4 linked regions of the Arabidopsis thaliana genome follow. The protein of the gene in region 3 interacts with the protein of the main gene of each other region in a pairwise test. Each region holds a gene or a part of one and is shown on either strand. Other genes may lie near its edges. The genes, in order: CYC3B, KRP6, CDKB1;2 and CYCB2;3.

What was found.
Region 1: the proteins of CDKB1;2 (region 3) and CYC3B interact in a two-hybrid assay, tested with the Arabidopsis thaliana proteins (one large-scale study listed by BioGRID).
Region 2: the proteins of CDKB1;2 (region 3) and KRP6 interact in a protein complementation assay, tested with the Arabidopsis thaliana proteins (one large-scale study listed by BioGRID).
Region 4: the proteins of CDKB1;2 (region 3) and CYCB2;3 interact in a protein complementation assay, tested with the Arabidopsis thaliana proteins (one large-scale study listed by BioGRID).

Annotation. Positions count from the first base shown.
Region 1 is NC_003076.8:3,600,983-3,607,155, reverse strand, and holds CYC3B (mitotic-like cyclin 3B from Arabidopsi), read left to right. Parts: upstream 1-1,805; 5' UTR 1,806-1,991; intron 1,992-2,652; 5' UTR 2,653-2,689; coding exon 2,690-2,845; intron 2,846-2,928; coding exon 2,929-3,015; intron 3,016-3,128; coding exon 3,129-3,315; intron 3,316-3,541; coding exon 3,542-3,663; intron 3,664-3,785; coding exon 3,786-3,878; intron 3,879-4,045; coding exon 4,046-4,179; intron 4,180-4,347; coding exon 4,348-4,423; intron 4,424-4,512; coding exon 4,513-4,589; intron 4,590-4,685; coding exon 4,686-4,719; intron 4,720-4,812; coding exon 4,813-4,962; coding exon of another isoform or gene 4,963-5,051; coding exon 5,052-5,186; intron 5,187-5,285; coding exon 5,286-5,345; 3' UTR 5,346-5,643; downstream 5,644-6,173. Other genes in the region: AT5G11310 (Pentatricopeptide repeat (PPR) superfamily protein), read right to left, coding at 108-666.
Region 2 is NC_003074.8:6,615,800-6,619,779, reverse strand, and holds KRP6 (KIP-related protein 6), read left to right. Parts: upstream 1-1,828; 5' UTR 1,829-2,124; coding exon 2,125-2,418; intron 2,419-2,521; coding exon 2,522-2,577; coding exon of another isoform or gene 2,578-2,669; coding exon 2,670-2,846; coding exon of another isoform or gene 2,847-2,850; exon of another isoform or gene 2,851-3,088; coding exon 3,089-3,152; 3' UTR 3,153-3,450; downstream 3,451-3,980. UniProt on the Arabidopsis thaliana protein: Binds and inhibits CYCD2-1/CDKA-1 complex kinase activity. Regulates cell division which is crucial for plant growth, development and morphogenesis. May inhibit CDK kinases specifically involved in the G1/S phase transition.
Region 3 is NC_003071.7:16,150,529-16,154,625, forward strand, and holds CDKB1;2 (cyclin-dependent kinase B1;2), read left to right. Parts: upstream 1-1,944; 5' UTR 1,945-2,022; coding exon 2,023-2,656; intron 2,657-2,738; coding exon 2,739-2,808; coding exon of another isoform or gene 2,809-2,878; exon of another isoform or gene 2,879-2,963; coding exon 2,964-3,102; exon of another isoform or gene 3,103-3,245; coding exon 3,246-3,338; 3' UTR 3,339-3,558; downstream 3,559-4,097. Other genes in the region: AT2G38630 (Transducin/WD40 repeat-like superfamily protein), read right to left, coding at 3,755-3,990, 4,089-4,097. UniProt on the Arabidopsis thaliana protein: Together with CDKB1-1, promotes both the last division in the stomatal cell lineage as well as the number of stomata.
Region 4 is NC_003070.9:7,134,136-7,139,642, reverse strand, and holds CYCB2;3 (Cyclin B2;3), read left to right. Parts: upstream 1-1,814; 5' UTR 1,815-2,103; intron 2,104-2,351; 5' UTR 2,352-2,369; coding exon 2,370-2,424; intron 2,425-2,517; coding exon 2,518-2,650; intron 2,651-2,752; coding exon 2,753-2,800; intron 2,801-2,884; coding exon 2,885-2,933; intron 2,934-3,015; coding exon 3,016-3,162; intron 3,163-3,244; coding exon 3,245-3,379; intron 3,380-3,490; coding exon 3,491-3,580; intron 3,581-3,670; coding exon 3,671-3,892; intron 3,893-3,978; coding exon 3,979-4,077; intron 4,078-4,175; coding exon 4,176-4,354; intron 4,355-4,437; coding exon 4,438-4,570; 3' UTR 4,571-4,984; downstream 4,985-5,507. Other genes in the region: AT1G20600 (AP2/B3-like transcriptional factor family protein), read right to left, coding at 5,406-5,477.

The sequences.
Region 1 (6,173 bases), on a different chromosome or scaffold from region 3:
AAGCAAATTGGAAAAACTATATTAAAGTCAAAAGCTTTATGCTTCTATTACTCTAAGCTAGCTCTTTGTATCAGCAATATTGATGAAGCTACAAGAAATCTGCATACCAGCACGAGCATACCGTCTGATCAAAACGATGAACGTATCTGCAGAAACCAAATTCGATCCTTCATCGCTTCTCACTCGATCAAAAACCAACGACCAAGCAATTTCAAATTCACGAGCTTTACATAGAGAATTGACAACAGAATCGAAAAGTGAAGGAGAAAGTGTAAACCCAGGTTTCATCTCCGCCCATTTGAACACTGAGTGAAGCAACATCGGCGATGAACTTAACCGATCGAACAACGCGTGAACCAACTCAACACTCGGTTCGATTCCGGTTTCATCTAAAGCTGACTCGAGACTCGAACCGGGAACAACATCAGTGTTCTCGAGAAGATTCGATATAGTAGAGAGATCGGTTTTCGAGACGGTGTTTTGTTGCGGTGGAGTACATGTAGAATCGGGTACGGCGGGTGATTGTATCCGTTGGATGAGAGGCTCGACGGGAATGAGCGGGGATGAACGGCGAGATGATGATAACAATCTATGAAGAAAGAAGTTGCGGTGAGGATTAGGGTTTAAGAGGAGGTTGCGGCGGAAGGCGGTGAACAGAGAGTTCATTTTCTGCCGCCGTTTATTAGAATTAAGTGTCCGCCGAGAAAATTAGGACACTCCGATTACGCGCCATTTGGGCTTTTGTTTGTTAACTGAAAATATCGATCAACATGGCCCATTATTTTAAAATGAAGTTACATATAGAATATTTGATATATATCCTCATACAACTTAGAAATTGTCTTTCTAGTCCTTCTCCACACGTATTTAATTTGTTTTTTATAAAGATGTATATACAATTTATCATTTATTTTTTTGGATAATTTACAATTTATTATTTTGCAAGTAAGAATCCGTGTATGCGTGTGATTCGTATATGTCCAAATACATATAATTAATGTTGTTAAATTGGTAGAAACGCCTTTTTGACTAATGTTTGAATTTCTATATGTGAATAAATATCTTTCGAAATAATTGTGAGAATGCAAGGCAATGGATGTGGTTATTTTCTCCCTCCATTTCCTTTTCAAATTTATTTTATCCCTTTAAAGAAATAAACATATAAATATTATTGACCAAATATATTAAATTGATTTTAAGGTAAAATAGTTGGAAAATATGTGTATAATTAGAAAAATGTCAAAAATTTATAATTGATCTGAACTCGAGCACTTGTTGATGTGTATTTGGATCGTATTTTCCAGATACATGAATTTTAAATTAACATCTTTTAATTTGATTAAGTAAATCAACGATTAAAAACGTGAATGATGGTAGATACATTGCGGTGATAATATCGTACAGAATCGTTTAATGTAAATATAATGTCTATTAATGTATTTTCGTTTCCAAATTAGAAATTACTGTAATTTACGTAAGGTAAATATATTTTTTGTTTTCAAAATAATAGTCATTACCATTTTATGTTTGTCGGAAATTTCTCGACCAATAATTTGTCTATCTATCGAAGTAGTGTAGTTCTTAAAAAACAAACAAATTACCATAACATATAAACTTTTTTTTGTTAATTGACAGCTCCAACATATGTGTAGTAATAAAAGACAGTTGCACTATTCCTTGTATAGTAACTTGGACCAAATTATAGAAATCATTCTTACAATTTTTTACCAAAGAAATTGAAGATTTTTCCAAAAAAAGCAAAGAAAGATTTTTTAAATTCCGATTTTTTTTTTTTGTTATATCCAAAAAAATCCGAATTTCAAACAGTACCTTTTTCAGTCAGTCGCTTCCCCCGCTCCTCTCCGCTCTCTCCCCCACCTACACATATTTCAACACTCTCTCTCTCTCTGGAGCGTTCTCTTCTCTCCTTGAGCTTCTCTTACCGCCATTAGAGCTCCTTCACAAACTCATAAACCTATTTGTTGAGCCAGGTATCATCATCACCTCTCGTCTGCTCACAATTTCCTGTTTGATTACCGATTCTCTGAATCGTAGCTTGTTGCTCTGCGTTTTGATCGATCGGAGCTAATAGTAGTTTGGATTTTAGTCTAATCGATCTCTCTAGCGAATGTTTTTTGGTCTTCGATTGAGATGATCGATTCCTCTTTGTTGTTTCCGCTTGTATTTGGTTTCTGCGTATTTGTTCTTCAAGCATGGCTAATCACTGGGAAATTGAAATTGTTGAGATCGTTCTTATCTGTTTGACTGGATTTTATGAAACGTGTGTGTACTCTATGGCTCATTGTTTGTTTAAGTAATCGGTCTTTTAAAGGATTTTTGCTATGAAGAACAATGCTTAATTCGATTTGGAAATGACTAGCTTGAAAATTGGATCTATCGATGCAGATTAATGTGAAGGAAACATAGAAACTAGTTGTGATAAGCTGGGTTGCTTGTTTAAGCTGACATTTACTCAATAGTTAGAATCGTGTGGAATTGAGATCTGTGGCTAAATTTGAGTATGAAGAAATCGTTTTAATTGCCACTATATGCTTGTTTCTTCCTGAAATTTATGCTGCATTTGAACATTGCTTGATCTTTTTGATGGAGGCAAGGATAGACATTTGATTATGAACTGTTGTTGTTCTGCAGGCTTGGCTTAACCACTGGCCTTTTTCCAGACTAAATTATGTATTGCTCTTCTTCGATGCATCCAAATGCAAACAAAGAAAATATCTCTACTTCAGATGTACAGGAGAGTTTTGTACGAATAACGAGATCACGAGCTAAAAAAGCCATGGGAAGAGGAGTATCAATACCTCCAACAAAACCTTCTTTTAAACAGGTACTGAAACATGTTCTTATAGAAAGTCATGAATTTCAAGAGCTGATGCTAAACTCTCTAATTTCCTGCCTCTGGTTTATCAGCAAAAGAGACGTGCAGTACTTAAGGATGTGAGTAATACCTCTGCAGATATTATTTATTCAGAACTTCGAAAGGGAGGCAACATCAAGGTAAAGATTTCAGATGATACGCTTTCATTGTCTTGGTTGGTTTATATCTTATGTTGGTAATATAGCCTTCAAACTTTCCCTTTGGGCTTATTACTGTTGACATCACGTTGCAGGCAAACAGAAAATGTCTAAAAGAGCCTAAAAAAGCAGCAAAGGAAGGTGCTAACAGTGCCATGGATATTCTGGTAGATATGCATACAGAAAAATCAAAATTAGCAGAAGATTTGTCCAAGATCAGGATGGCTGAAGCCCAAGATGTCTCTCTTTCAAACTTTAAAGATGAAGAAATTACTGAGCAACGTAAGAACTACAGTGTTCGTGAAAATAATGATAGTTACCACCTTCTCCTCATTTCCGAGGTCATGTTGATCACTCGCTAACTTTAAATCAAGCATTGGACTCCAGAATGCTGAAATTAGTTATTCCCATTAAATTTGTGTTGTCAAGGGTTGAAACAAGTGAACTCTATACCAACATGAATTTCTCAAACTTACTTAAGGTATGTATCTTATACTGGATTGTGCAGAAGAAGATGGATCAGGTGTCATGGAGTTACTTCAAGTTGTAGATATTGATTCCAACGTCGAAGATCCACAGTGTTGCAGCTTGTATGCTGCTGATATATATGACAACATACATGTTGCAGAGGTATTGAATTACATGATCCAAATATTTGCTTTACATCTTTCCACTGTTAACTTCTTGTAACTAATCTCAATATAACTACTTATATGAAGACTGTTGGAGTTATAACCTCTCTTTTCTTGCAGCTTCAACAACGACCCTTGGCTAATTATATGGAGCTTGTGCAGCGAGATATCGACCCAGACATGAGAAAGATTCTGATTGACTGGCTTGTAGAAGTTAGTTACCTTCAAACTTAGCTCATATATATAAATAACGGCATCATCTTATTATGTTTCTTATTGAATAGGACACTAAACCTTACTATACATAGCTTTCTTACAAAAATTAGAGCAAAAACTGAGAGTACTTTTGAGTAAAATAGTGAAGTGCGTGGTATTTTCAGGTTTCTGACGACTACAAGCTGGTTCCAGATACGCTTTACCTTACAGTGAATCTTATCGACCGGTTTCTGTCCAACAGTTACATTGAAAGGCAAAGACTCCAGCTCCTTGGTGTCTCTTGCATGCTTATAGCTTCGTAAGTCCCTACTTTGTTGTTTGTGTGTGTTTGTCAATTTCAGGTTATAGCAATGAGAACAGCATTTCCATCACTGGGAGAGCGCGAACCTATATATATATGTATACTTGCTAAGTAGAGAAACAAGTAAGGCTTATCTTCCTTATACATTTTTGTTGAACCTTGTAGAAAATATGAAGAGCTTTCCGCACCAGGGGTGGAGGAGTTTTGCTTCATTACGGCCAACACATACACAAGACCAGAAGTAATTAACATTCAAATCACACATCTCTCGGTATCTTTAATGTGTACAGATTCTTGATGAAAATATATAAACTGGAATCTTTGTTTCAGGTGCTGAGCATGGAGATTCAAATTCTAAATTTTGTGCACTTTAGATTATCGGTTCCTACCACCAAAACATTTCTGAGGTAAATACTAAAGGGCAGAACTATGAATCATCATATCTTTCCAACTTTGTTTAAAAATAGTACCACTGAGTTTTCATCTTACCAATGTTTTTTCAGGCGGTTCATTAAAGCAGCTCAAGCTTCGTACAAGGTATGAAACCATGATCCATTTATCATCAACCCTCACTTCTACAGAAACTTGGAATCTGAATGTAGTGCGTTGTTTCTTATAATTATTTTGCAGGTGCCTTTCATTGAACTGGAGTATTTAGCAAACTATCTCGCCGAATTGACACTGGTGGAATATAGTTTCCTAAGGTTCCTGCCATCACTAATTGCTGCTTCAGCTGTTTTCCTAGCCCGATGGACACTCGACCAAACTGACCATCCTTGGGTCAGCTCATGTTTCTTGAATCTTGAAAAAGGTTGTTTTTGTGTTTGCCTCTTTTTTGTGCTGATAAAAAGAATGATGTTTGGTTATAGAACCCTACTCTGCAACACTACACCAGATATGAGGTAGCTGAGCTGAAGAACACAGTTCTCGCCATGGAGGACTTGCAGCTCAACACCAGTGGCTGTACTCTCGCTGCCACCCGTGAGAAATACAACCAACCAAAGGTACATTTCTCTACAAAACACCGTTAAATCAAACTACTGATTGTTGAAGAAAAGTGAATGAATGATTGAACTGGTTTTAATTCTGTATGACTTTGATAGTTTAAGAGCGTGGCAAAGCTGACATCTCCCAAACGAGTCACATCACTATTCTCAAGATGACACCAAGCAACATCGAAAACAGAGCCCAAGTCAGGTGATCAAAATACCTATTTTCAGACATTGGATGTTATGTCGTCTCTTTGCCAGTTTTGTCTGTCTGTAATTCTGTAGCTATTGTGTGGCGCCTTAATTGTAGGCCATTACTTGTCACACCACTTAGCTTTAAATAAATGTTATGGAATTTTTCTAATCGCATTGCTACAACTATTTACTATCCTGCGGGATTTTGTACCTAGGAGCACTTGGAAAACGAATACAAAAGTGTTAATTAATATAAATTTCACTGTTCATGGCTGGATTGTTATGTTGTTTGTTCTGATTTCGCAATGCTATATTCATATGGAAACATTTCCATCTACAATTAACGTCTCCCGTGTAACATTTGGTATCCCCTTTTTACTGATTCCTCCATGCTTGATTTTATTCGTCAAATTAGTCTTCAGGTATACTTCAATGTATGTATTTCCATGGCTTGAAGTTCTTCAATCTTCCACAAATTCAATCAAATCCTAAAATTCGAAGATACGCCAACACTTTTCCTCCTTAAAAACTCTCAACTATACCCACTTCAGTTCCTTAAGTTGAGTTATCACAGCTACAGTTCCTTATATAGTCCTCCACTAAACAAACAAGAAATCCCTAAGTCTGTAGCTCGACTTAAAACCGCTTCAGATACTTTTCTCAAAGTCGACTTACCTATAATTTTCTGTATGGCAATAGCCTCTACCGCCGTGATTGCGCACGAGATTCATTTACAAAGATCAGGACGCCTAAACCGGTAACTTCTCACTATAAAATGGTAAAAACAGTGTTATTGTTTACATGATC
Region 2 (3,980 bases), on a different chromosome or scaffold from region 3:
CGAGTACTAGTTATAATCACTTTTTTTCTTTTTATATCTAAGTATTGCAATCAAAATTTTCTTGGCAGTCAAAATTATTTTAATCTTGACATAGAGTTTTCTACATAGTAAAAAATTATCTTAACATACAAATTAATAGTAGGAAGTGACATAGAAACTATCTTAACATACAAAATCAACTTATCTTTACATTTTTCTAACTAGCTAATCAACAATGTAACAAAAAAATATTTGATTATTGATTGATAGTGTTATTATATATTCATACAAATGAGAAAAGATTTGAAATGATAGGCGAAATTTTTATTGAAAAGTTCTATCAATTTTTTTAAAAGTTTAGGACGACCCTATTCAGGACTATATATGATCATATGGATTACAATGGTCACTGAATAAATTATTTTGAATTATATCATTCCCTCTTGATTTGTCTTAATAATTCCTAAATAAATGCCTAGGTCAGCGAATTCGTTGTTGCATCAGTCACTTAATTATTACTCGATGATTCCTTTTATTACTAAAATTTATTGAAAATGGTCCCATTTATTGGAAGAATAAAGAAGTAGTTACACTAAAATTTAATTATAGTATATGCTTAAATTTGTAAACCGTTCTGGCCATTTTGTATATATATATACATATATGGGCTCTTTAAGACGAGAATTGAGTTTAGTTGTTTACAATTGGTTTTAACTGTACGGACAGTTTAGTTGAGCTTTAATGGCTCATTCTCTATGGTGCTATATTATGGTTTTAACACATGTACATTATTTCATAATACATATGTCATTAAAATGACATAGAGGACAAAATCTGTTGTTGATGTGTATCTGATCAGTGGAAGAAACTTACACATGCATGGAAACTTTCAAAAAGACAACTAAGCATAAACAAGAGATTAATTAGACTTAAGCTGAGTTAGTCTCTATATGACATAATTGATGTTTCTACTAAGCAAACCCCAAACTGTTATTCCCTTTCCAGATTCAAGCATTATTTGATTCGTCATTGATTTCATGGTCTTGGTGATGATACGAACCAAAAAGTTGTATAATTGGTTTATAAGATGTAGGTTCTTACAAAATTGACTATGTAACAAAATTATAGTATTGTTTTAAACGTAAATTAACGAGGCGCTTCTAGACATGTTCCGACAAACATATATAATAGTACAGATGATTTTATAGAATGTAGTTAATCGATGTATCTTCTGCTATAGGTATCTCTAATTTATTGTTCCGACCACCACAATTCTTTTCTAAGTATTTTATAAATTGGTTAACCATGTATCTTCTGTTGTGTAATTATAGCTAGTATCTTCATTTGAAATATTGTAAGGAATAGTTTGTCTAATTGCTTATGATATTTGACCATCTAAGTAAGTTTATGAACTAATTGTTTTTCAAAAAAGGTTGATTAACCTTAATTACGTGATAGTTTTAACATTAAAAGATTTCAACACTATGTTCTGGATGTTAACATATCCATCTCAAAACCATGATAAAACGCGTACAATGGAAGGGATCAAGCTAATTTGACAAATCTCTATTCACACCTCAACCATTCATATATATACCCTCGATATATGTCACATCATTGGTTTTAGCTTTTAATTGATTCTCATAAAATATAAAACCCAATTACGAGAAAAGACTTGTTCGATGGTTCTCATAGACCCTGACCAAATAAGACTTGTTCCTAAACAAATCGAATTAAATAGAGTTGTGGTTTACTCATACTTTAAATCGTTTTAAGAAAAAATAATGACTACTGTTACGTTGCTACTACGTCATAACTACCGAAAATGATTGCGTTTTCAATTGCTTTGAAAGGAAGCCAAAAAGGCAAAAACGGCAAAAAGGGAGAGAAAACGCGTTTGGGAATCTCAACGGCGTTTGTGTAAGAAAATAAAAGCGAAACTCCGTAACGGCGCCGTTATATACCATAACCTCCGTCCGCTCACCAAGGAAAATAAAATCTCAACCGTTGAAATAATCAACGGCTCATGATTCATTCTCTCTCCTTCCCCACCAAAATCTCCTCTGCTTTGTTAAGAAGCGAACCAGAAATAGAAAGAAAAAAAAGCAGAGAGAGAGAGCACACAAAAATCCAAGAGAGAAAAAAATGAGCGAGAGAAAGCGAGAGCTTGCAGAAGAAGCTTCAAGCACAAGCTTCTCACCACTGAAGAAAACGAAGCTTAATGATTCTTCTGATTCATCACCGGACTCTCATGACGTCATCGTCTTCGCGGTTTCATCTTCTTCCGTTGCTTCGTCGGCGGCTTTAGCGTCTGATGAATGTTCCGTTACCATCGGTGGAGAAGAAAGTGATCAGTCCTCGAGTATCAGCTCCGGTTGTTTCACCAGTGAATCGAAAGAAATCGCGAAGAACAGTTCGTCGTTTGGTGTAGATCTGGAGGTGAATTTTCAAAATCAAATAACTCCTCTCTACTTGAATCGATTTAATCAGACGATTTTCTCAGTTTTCGTTTTGATTTTTTATTTCCGTTTCTGTGTTTCAGGATCATCAAATCGAAACCGAAACCGAAACCTCAACATTCATCACCAGCAATTTCAGGTTCATAATCTTTTTGTTTCCCCCCCCCCCCAAATTAGACGTTCAATCGATTTTATTCTCCTTGGCGATTTTTTCTCTGTTTTTTATGGCAGAAAAGAGACGAGTCCAGTGAGTGAGGGTTTGGGAGAAACGACAACAGAAATGGAATCATCATCGGCAACGAAGAGAAAACAACCGGGGGTGAGGAAGACTCCAACGGCGGCGGAGATTGAGGATTTGTTCTCGGAGCTAGAGAGTCAAGACGATAAGAAGAAGCAATTCATAGAAAAGTGAGTCCATTTTTACAATTTCATCATCTCTCTCACGTGTGTTCTTGTTGTTGTTGTGTGCGCTTTGCTTTTTGGGGTTTGGGAAAAATTGGAGTGAGTCCGTACCTAGAGAGAGAGAGAGAGGAATGTGAGTAAAAATGTCTGCGTGCGCATGATAAAAAGATTAACCGACGCGTAGTTTAGCAAATATCCTAAAAAGAGAGAGAATCAGAATCCTAACGAACACACACACTTTGGCACAGGTACAACTTCGATATTGTCAATGACGAACCGCTTGAAGGTCGCTACAAGTGGGATCGACTTTAAGCCATCAAAAAGCAAATACCATCCATGAAGAAGACAAAAGAAAAATAGGTTTTGTTTTTCGTGGTTAACATTTCCACTTGTACAGCTCTAGTCTATTTCTCTTTAAAAACCTATGTTACTAGTTCGTACAAAACAAAACAAAAAACACGACCTTTATAATGAAATTTCGGATCTTGGCTACTAATTACGGTGATTTCGTTGGTTTGTTATGTTTCTGTTTTAAAATCAAAAATGGTTTTGGCAGAGTTTTAAGTGCATGAATATAGAAAGGTGCTTCTTGTTTGGATTCTTTTAAAACATTGGATGCTTAATTATTACAATTATTTTATCTTACTCAAAACTATTATTTTTTGTTTGTCTCATGTCATTCTTATTCTTACACTTGCAGTTTATGTTATATTTAAATGTTTCATGTCATATAGTACCCAATTTACAAAAATATCTGAAACCAAAAATTGATGTTTTAAAAAAAAAATTGGAGAAAAGAGGAAAGGTACATGACATGACGGCACAGTAATACAGTTGGTTTGTACTTCTCTAAAAACTGCGATCATACAAAATACAAATATTATATTTTTTCTATTTTTTTCACTAATATTCTTTTATTTTATTTTGGAATATTCCTCTATTTTGGCACTAAACACAGGGTCCACTTAGTTAAAACCATTTTGGCCTTCATTAGATAAAACCAAAAAGCGGCCTATGCGGAGTAGTAATTTATCCTAATGAAGTGTGTTACTGTAACAAAATATCATCAATGAGTGATACTATATAAAAACGATTACATAGGATATATTTACGTGGATTAGCTTTTTGGTAACGCATTAA
Region 3 (4,097 bases):
TTTAAAAAGAAAACAATGAGACATTTGTATTTAGCGCAAAAACCACGTGATGTTCTTTAAAACTGTTTTGAATTTATTACAAAAAAACATTCTAAATAATTTTGAATTGCTTAATTAGTTTGGATTTTAAAAGCTGAAAGAAAGACACAATAACTTAAAATAATCCAAAGAGTCATGCTTAAATAAATCCAACCAACATAACTATCGAAGCTGTTGCAACACAACAATATTTGTCACAAAAAAAAAACAATCGTTTCAGATGGACAAGATATTCTAAAGTAAAGACTTGTCAAGCATTAACTTTGAAGAGAAGATTGTATTGGCTGAGTGATAGGGTTCTCTTCATCCATTGTTTTCTGTTTTTTCCTTGGTCGTCCTTGAGGTTTCTTGGGTGGTTTTGGCATTGCTTTACACTTGCATGAACGTTTGTTGTGTCCGACTTGTTGACAATTGCTGCAAGTCTAAATATGCAAAGATTAAATTTAATAATTTGAAAATGAAGATCTTGTGAAACATAATTCATTGTTCTCTATTTTACCATTTAAACTTTTTCACGTGTATAAAGAACTTTTTGAGGTGGACGATCTTCAGTTGGATCACGGATTCTGTCATTGTTCTTTGGTCGATTTTTGGAAATTAATATCCCATTAATATTTAATTACTATGGGGTTAAGTTTATTAACAGGTTTTAGTTCAGAGTTTGTTTTACTAAAAACATAGTTCAGAATTTAAAAATAGATCTGACCAAAGCTGACGGTTTTTTTCATTAAATTCCCTTAATAAAATGGTTGCAAATAAGTTTATTGACCCTAGTAAATCAGTAACGGTTTTTCATAATCAACTTTAAAGTCTTTAAGCCATTTTCTTTCGTTTAGTCAATGCCCTATCATTGAATATTATCTTTGTTTTCTTTTTCATTATTGTAATTTTCTTTTATGTATAGTAGTCCAATAATTTTTTAATATTCAGCCATTGTTTAGTTTCCACATGAAACACACAATTTGTTTATAATCTTGTTTTTCTTTCCCCTTTACATAGAACTTCTTATGATGATTTTTATGAGTTTGTGAAATTGCATACCTTGCACATTCGTAGACCTAGTCAGAATTTTTGTTGTTGTTGTAGTATCTTTATTGTAAAAAGAAATGGTTTTCTTAATGTAACTATCGATCAAAACTGATGCAATTACCATACATGAAATTGGAATGAGTGTAAGAAGAATATAAAGTTGAAATAAATCAAAAATGTGAAACTGAATCAATATCATATGAAGTTGAATCATGTATACTAGAAGCCTAGAACACAAGAAACAACCCACCATTAATGAATAATGAGTAAGAGTTCACAGTCCCAAAATAATTGAAGTTACAAATTCGAACACAAAAAATCAAACCTAAACATTTTTCCAATTGGTTGAGTAAGTGAAAAAAAACTACGTAGTAAGAAATTCTTTTTTTGAGTTTGTGCCAAACATTGAACATTAACGTATAAGGAGAAAACTAATGGGATACAAGCTAAAACAGTTATAGTCTTATTAATTAGTATGTTAAATACTAGATTAAAGTTAAAATGAAGTTGGAAAAGCTCGAAGTTTCAACCAATTAATGCGAAATGATCGACTCTTCAAGTAATATTAATAGTTTAGCAAAATAAATGACTGAAAAATCTTTATTATGGGTTGTGGCTGCAAGCATGAGCTTAGCTTTTTGTACTCAGGGCCGGCTTTACATCAAAGATCATGCATAGATTCATTCAACTAAACATTCACCATGGATAATGAATTGAAATCTATAAACATAATCAAGCAAATATCTTATACTATACTTATCTGTTTAAAATGACTTTGAGTCTTTGACTAATAAAATATTATTGGTACGTGTGAAGCGTGCGAGGGATTCAAATGTTAAACGTTATAGCAAAGAGGCGCCTTTATTTACCAGATCTAAAATCGAAAAGGGGCTTTAGGGTTTATAAGACCCAAACAAAAAACATTCATCAGTCTCAATTCAAAATCCTCCATCAATGGAGAAATACGAGAAGCTCGAAAAGGTCGGTGAAGGAACCTATGGAAAAGTCTACAAAGCAATGGAGAAAACCACCGGAAAACTCGTCGCTCTGAAGAAAACTAGGCTCGAAATGGACGAAGAAGGTATACCACCAACGGCTCTCCGTGAGATCTCTCTTCTCCAAATGCTTTCTCAATCAATCTACATCGTTCGTCTCCTCTGCGTCGAACATGTTATTCAATCGAAAGATTCGACTGTTTCTCACTCTCCCAAATCCAATCTCTATCTCGTTTTTGAGTATCTCGACACTGATCTCAAGAAATTTATAGATTCTCATAGAAAGGGCTCGAATCCTAGACCGCTTGAGGCTTCTCTTGTGCAGAGGTTTATGTTTCAGCTTTTTAAAGGTGTGGCTCATTGTCATAGCCATGGTGTGCTTCACCGTGATCTTAAACCGCAGAATCTTCTATTGGATAAGGATAAAGGGATTCTTAAGATTGCTGATTTGGGTCTTAGTCGTGCTTTTACTGTGCCTCTTAAGGCTTATACACATGAGATTGTTACTCTTTGGTATAGAGCTCCTGAAGTTTTGCTTGGTTCTACTCATTACTCTACTGCTGTTGATATTTGGTCTGTTGGATGCATCTTTGGTTAGTAATCAGCTACTATGTCTCTTTTAATGGTCTTTTGTTCTACTGTTTGGATTACTGATGTTTCCCCATTTTTTTGTAGCCGAGATGATTAGGAGGCAAGCTCTTTTCCCTGGTGATTCTGAGTTTCAGCAACTACTTCATATTTTCAGGTATTTGCTTCTTGTTTTTGATGCCAATGTGTATGTATACAGGAACCAGTTTAGGACTTTAGCCCATTAGGTTCAGTACTCGTGAACTCATTTGGATTATGGGGACTGTCTAGTATCAATATATCTGAAGTATGGTTTTGTTTTGGGTTCTGGAGATTGTTAGGAACACCAACTGAGCAGCAATGGCCGGGTGTAATGGCATTGCGTGACTGGCATGTCTATCCAAAGTGGGAGCCGCAAGACTTATCACGTGCTGTTCCATCTCTATCTCCTGAAGGAATTGATCTTCTCACGGTAATGCTCTTTTCTAAAATATGACCATTGTTGGAGAAGTGGCCTAAGATTCTCTTGCATACTTGATCTCTTTAGTAGATTCTTTCTGTTGGGGTTCGTTCCTAGTTGATGATAATTTGTTTTGAACCTTTGAACAATTGCAGCAAATGTTGAAGTACAATCCAGCAGAAAGAATTTCAGCAAAAGCAGCTCTCGATCATCCCTACTTTGACAGCCTTGACAAATCTCAGTTCTGACCTCTGCCAAATTACTGATCAGGCTTCTCTTTGGAGTTCTGAAGCTGATGGCTCAAGTTTATTGTCTTGGTGTCTTATGCTGTGTGCTTTAGAAAGATTTGTACTTAAACTAAACAATCTGAAAACCTTGTTTGTTCAGCGAGAGTGAGAGAATCTTCTTTAAGTGGCCAATTTTATTTGTTCATGTAAACAAGTCTATCAAAGCAAAAATGGTTAACCCTATTAAGCAGACAAATCATTAGTGTACATAAATGAGAGACGAATTTGAAATATTTGCTGTTTCATTACAACGACAATTGCTACTCAAACACACAAGTAAATTACATATCTCATGATATTACACAATTGAGAAACAGAACAAGATACAGAGATCTCTTGTATTAATGTAAAAAAAACAAAACAAATGATGAGTAGCTTCAATTAGACCAGACATGGAGGAGGCCGTGTCTGTTTCCTGTGTATATTTCATTCCGTTCTTCGTCGTAGAAGAGAGCGGTTATGTCTTCCAAAGCCTCAGCAACCGCACTTCTCCTTCGAGAGGAATTCCCCAAATCACTACTGCTGCAGTCCTCTTCCTTAGGAGGACCATTATTTGCTTTTATCTTAGCTAAGCATTTACCAGTCAAGATATTGCTTATGTTAATCGACCCCGCTACATCAACAACCAAAATCACGACAATGTCTCAATAGCAAAACAAAATCAGACCATGAGGTTTCTTGATTTGAAGAGTGGATGATGAGTCTACTTACCATTTCCTT
Region 4 (5,507 bases), on a different chromosome or scaffold from region 3:
AATACATTTTTGTGCCACAGGCCCACCAAGCCTAATATATCTATTATCTAAGATACTAATGGGCTCTAGTCTGGTGGGTAAGTTTTGGGCCAACCTGTAATGGAAAAAAAAACAGTTGTATTCATTAAACGGATATTAATTACAAGAGACTGAGAACTTATGCAACCTAAAAGATATACATGTCAATTTAAATGCCAATAACAAAAATCTGAAACAAGAACTTATAGAATGATCTCAAACTTAACCTAATGGCATATCATATTTATTTAATGTATCTATATCAATGGAAACAAAATGCTATTGTTGTGTTTCTACATAGAAACGCAATGTTCACACTTCTACACAAATGACTTGATTGATTTAAAAGTGATTGATAGTAAATGCAGTATATCAATGCCATTATCATGTAAACAACTCTATATATCTTTTTCCCATAAAAATATAGTACGATATTCTAATGATACACTTGAAGAAGGTCTAAACTTTGTGTGAGATTTCTTACTCGAAAAAGAAAATCATTTAACTTGAGATTAATATAAATGTATTTGATTTCTTAAACGAGTCTTGGTTTTTGGTCAAAGGTGATGTATTTGATTTTTTAAATAATAGTATTTTATTTGTTATTATAGAAATGTATATTATATAGTGTAATTTTCGAAAATAAAATAAAAATAGTTGTCTTTCCCAAAATAAAAAAGGGAAGGGTATTATCATTCTTACTCGGAAGAATCGAAAATTAAGTCCATTTTTTTCTACTGTTTATCTTACACTATTTTTGTGGCAAATACAATAATACCTCTATATTATATAACTATTCTTATTGCCATACCACTGTACCTGTGAAGATTACGACAATGATAGTTTTTGTTCAGATTCAGTTCAAATTGGTTAACAATCAAATTACCGAGTTAACTAATACTTTATCTAGAGGTAGTGACAATAATAATCTTATTGGATGAAATTCATATTTTGCACGTTATAGTAACTCGTTAATTTTTTTATATGATATAATAAATGAGTTAAGACGGTAAATATAAATATATCACATAAGTTATAACTTATTGCGATTCAAAATGACTTAGCATGACATAATTATAAATTTATTGATATAAATATTTTGTTATCATGTTAACCTAATAAATATTACCGAGATATTTGTTATTGAAAACAAAAAAAACCCAAAGAATTTGAATAAGTACACATACACATGGATGAAAAACAATGATAGCCGTTGAACATAAGGCAACTTTCGATTTGGAACACGTGGCATTAATCCAACAGCTGATATGAACTAGGCAACTAGCTGTTAATTTTAAAGATATTATACAGACAATATATCCGCTCTTCTAGTCTTCAAAATCTCTATTATTCTTTATTTTTTCTTTTTTTCTTTGCCCTTGTAGTATAATATTCTAATGATACACTTGAAGAAAATCTAAACTTTGTGTGAGATTTCTTGCTTGAAAAAGAAAATCATTTAACTTGAGATTAATATAAACGAATCTTGGTCTTTGGTCAAAGGAGACATATTTGATTCTTTTAAATAGAAGTGTTTTATTTGTTTTTATAGAAATGAATATTATTTCATGGTGTAATTTTCAAAAATAAAATAAAAATAGTTGTCTTCCCCAAAATAGAATAAAAGAAAAAAAAATCAAAGAATTTGAATAAATCTATACATAGATGATATACAATTATAACCGTTGAATAGAAGACAACTTTCGATCTGGAACACGTGGCGTTGATCCAACGGCTGAGATGAACTAGCCGTTAATTTTAAAGAAAACTAATACACTATAGACGCTCTTCTAATCTTCAAAATCAATCTTACTCTTTTTTTTTTCTTTTTTTCTTTACCCTTATAAAGAGAGATAGAGAGAGAGTGGGAAGTATCTTCAAAACCGAAGCCATTAGAGAGAAAGAGAGCGTGGTTGAATCTTTGGGTTTTACTAAAAGATCTCTCTTTCTCTCCTTTGTTTGATCAACTTGGATCCAACGGGATAAAAGACTATTAGGGTTTAGGAGATTCACTGGGTTTCATAAGAATTTATGATCAAGGGTCGACTTAATCTCGCGTTGGTTCTTTGAATTGACTGTGAAAAGGTGATTTTTTTGAAAAACCAATTCGTGGGTTTTCGTTATCTTCTGGGTATTTGAGATTTAGGTCTTTGTTGTTCTTGATTGGGTCTTTCATTGAGATTATTAAACCGGATCTATAGGGTTTTGATTGTCAAGACTGTTTTTTTAGTTTCAATTTTGAAAACCCCTGCTTTTAAGTTGGGGGATGTTTCGATTTTGAAATTTGATTTCTTCAAGAGAAGAGATTTAATGAAAATAAATAACTTCCGCAGATAACGAAGAAGAAGAAAATGGTTAGATCAGATGAAAATAGCCTTGGATTAATCGGATCAATGAGTCTCCAAGGTACCCTAAATCGATCGATTTTGTTATTAAAAATCAAAACTTTCGTTCTCTTTGATTTTTCCCCCAAATTGATTTTGAATTTACTTGATGTAGGGGGAGGAGTAGTAGGAAAGATCAAGACGACGGCAACAACAGGACCGACAAGAAGAGCACTAAGTACTATTAACAAGAACATCACTGAAGCGCCGTCTTACCCTTATGCTGTCAACAAGAGATCAGTTTCTGAGTAAGTTCACTTTAATCCTCAGATTCAAGATTAGTGTTTTTTTTTTCTTCTCCCTTTGATTAGACTCTTATAGGAACCCTATTTCTTTCTGTGACTTTGCAGAAGAGATGGCATTTGTAATAAACCACCTGTGCATCGACCAGTTACTAGGTAAGCATAGATCTTTACTCTTGTCTACTTTGAGTATCTCACATTGTCTGATTACTTAACTTTTACTACTCTCTGTTGGTTCAGGAAGTTTGCTGCTCAGTTAGCAGATCATAAGCCACATATCCGTGATGAGGTACCCTATTGTTCAATGTATGTTTCATTTAGAGCAATGATGATATAGACCGGATTTTAAAGTTCTGATCTTTAACTCTTAGGAAACTAAGAAACCAGACTCAGTTTCAAGTGAAGAACCAGAGACGATTATCATTGATGTGGATGAAAGTGATAAAGAAGGAGGTGACTCTAATGAGCCAATGTTTGTACAACATACTGAAGCAATGCTGGAGGAGATTGAACAGATGGTATACATATTTCCTAACCATTCTTTGCTTTGTTTATGGAAGTGTTAATATAGTTACTCATATTGTTTGTGTCTTTCAAAAGGAGAAGGAGATTGAAATGGAAGATGCAGACAAAGAAGAAGAGCCTGTGATCGATATTGATGCCTGTGATAAGAATAATCCTTTGGCTGCGGTTGAATATATCCATGATATGCATACCTTCTACAAGAATTTTGAGGTGAATTTGTCTTGTTTCACATCAACTTTTGCTTTTGTGTTCTTTATCATCGAAAGGATTGTAGTTTCAAAATCTTGTACTTATGTTTGATTCATTCTTATGATTCTGCAGAAACTTAGTTGCGTGCCTCCTAACTATATGGACAATCAACAAGATCTTAATGAGAGAATGAGAGGAATCCTCATTGACTGGTTAATTGAGGTAGACAGATCTAGACAAAAGCTATTTAATGCCACTTTTTTTGTCTCAATGTGCCTGAAGATAAATTGACTGGAAAATTATCTTGTCCAGGTGCACTACAAGTTTGAACTGATGGAGGAAACTCTTTATCTCACAATCAATGTCATCGACAGATTCCTTGCGGTTCATCAAATCGTGAGGAAAAAGCTTCAGCTTGTTGGTGTTACTGCTTTGTTGCTTGCATGTAAATATGAAGAAGTTTCAGTTCCAGTGGTAGATGATCTCATCTTGATCTCTGACAAAGCTTACTCTAGAAGAGAAGTGCTAGATATGGTGAATACACAACTTTGTCTTGATCATTAACTACCACTGGTTGATGCTTCATAGTTGAATTTACCTGTTTTTGGTTTCTATTGCAGGAGAAGCTAATGGCCAACACCTTGCAATTCAATTTCTCTCTACCAACTCCATATGTTTTCATGAAACGATTTCTCAAAGCTGCCCAATCTGACAAGAAGGTATATATCTCCCTAACTAAAAAAGCTTGAATCATTATATCCGGAAACCATCAGGCCTAATATCTAAATCGGTGTGGTATATGCAATTGTGGTTTCAGCTTGAGATTTTATCATTCTTTATGATCGAGCTTTGCCTTGTGGAGTATGAGATGCTAGAGTATCTTCCATCTAAGCTGGCGGCCTCAGCAATCTACACTGCTCAGTGTACACTTAAGGGATTTGAAGAATGGAGCAAAACCTGTGAGTTTCACACAGGCTACAACGAAAAACAGCTACTGTAAGAACATACATTGATTTTTTTGAAAACCCCATGACATGAGATTTTGGTATCCTGACAGTGGGTTTTTGTGTTTTTTCTAGGGCATGTGCGAGAAAGATGGTTGCTTTCCATCACAAGGCAGGAACAGGGAAGCTCACAGGAGTTCACAGAAAGTACAACACATCTAAGTTCTGTCATGCTGCAAGAACTGAACCAGCTGGGTTTCTGATTTAATATTAATAAGAATCTAATATGACTTAACTCGAGTTTTTCTTTAGAACAAAAAGAGTGTGAGAGAAAGAGAGATAGTAGAGCAAGTTGCCCAAAATGGGAGAAGAATGGATCTTTAGATATCATGGCAAGTAGCCCAAAAAGAGTGTATTCTTCTCTTTCTAAGGTCTTTAGATCTTTCTTCACTTGAGAGAGAATAAAAAGAATCTTCTGATATCATGCTTTCCTATATTCAACTTGTGAATCGATTCTTGTATAGACTCAGGAAAATCTATGATCCAGTTTGGTTAATATTACTCGGGAGCTGAACCTCTAGACTGAATCAAATATTCTTCTACATGTCGTTTTGGTACTCTGGAACTGAATCTCTAGACCCTATCAAATATTCTACAAGTACATGGCAATTTTTTGGATTGTAATTTGGGAAAATTGCAGTTGACAAGGTTTTTACATGATGAAAATACAAGTACAATATTCTTTTATAGCTTATATATTAATGTTATAAATGACCATATAGACTACGTTATTTAGACAACTCAAAGTCTACAGTATTGCAGTCTTTATTGAAGGAGGATATAATCATTACTTCTAGTATTTCATAATCTTGTTCCTTCAATTTATCTTTGTTTTCTGATCTTAGTCTTATTAAGACCTTTATGAAAACAATGTACTTTGTTTTACTCATCTACTGTCAGAAATGGAGAATGCGCAAAGAAGAAAATAGATCACAACGAAAACTTGTCAATGATTCAAACATCTTGGTAACCCAAAATACAGAACTAGTAGTGCATCTGGACATATCTCTCTTGTTCTCCTTTGTTTGGTTTTACAGTGTTCTCTAAGAAGTGTTGCAGCACCTGACTTTGCTGCCTCGAATGAAGACATGCTCAAGCTGTGATACCTTACCATCCTGTAACATAGCAATGAAAAACCGAAAACA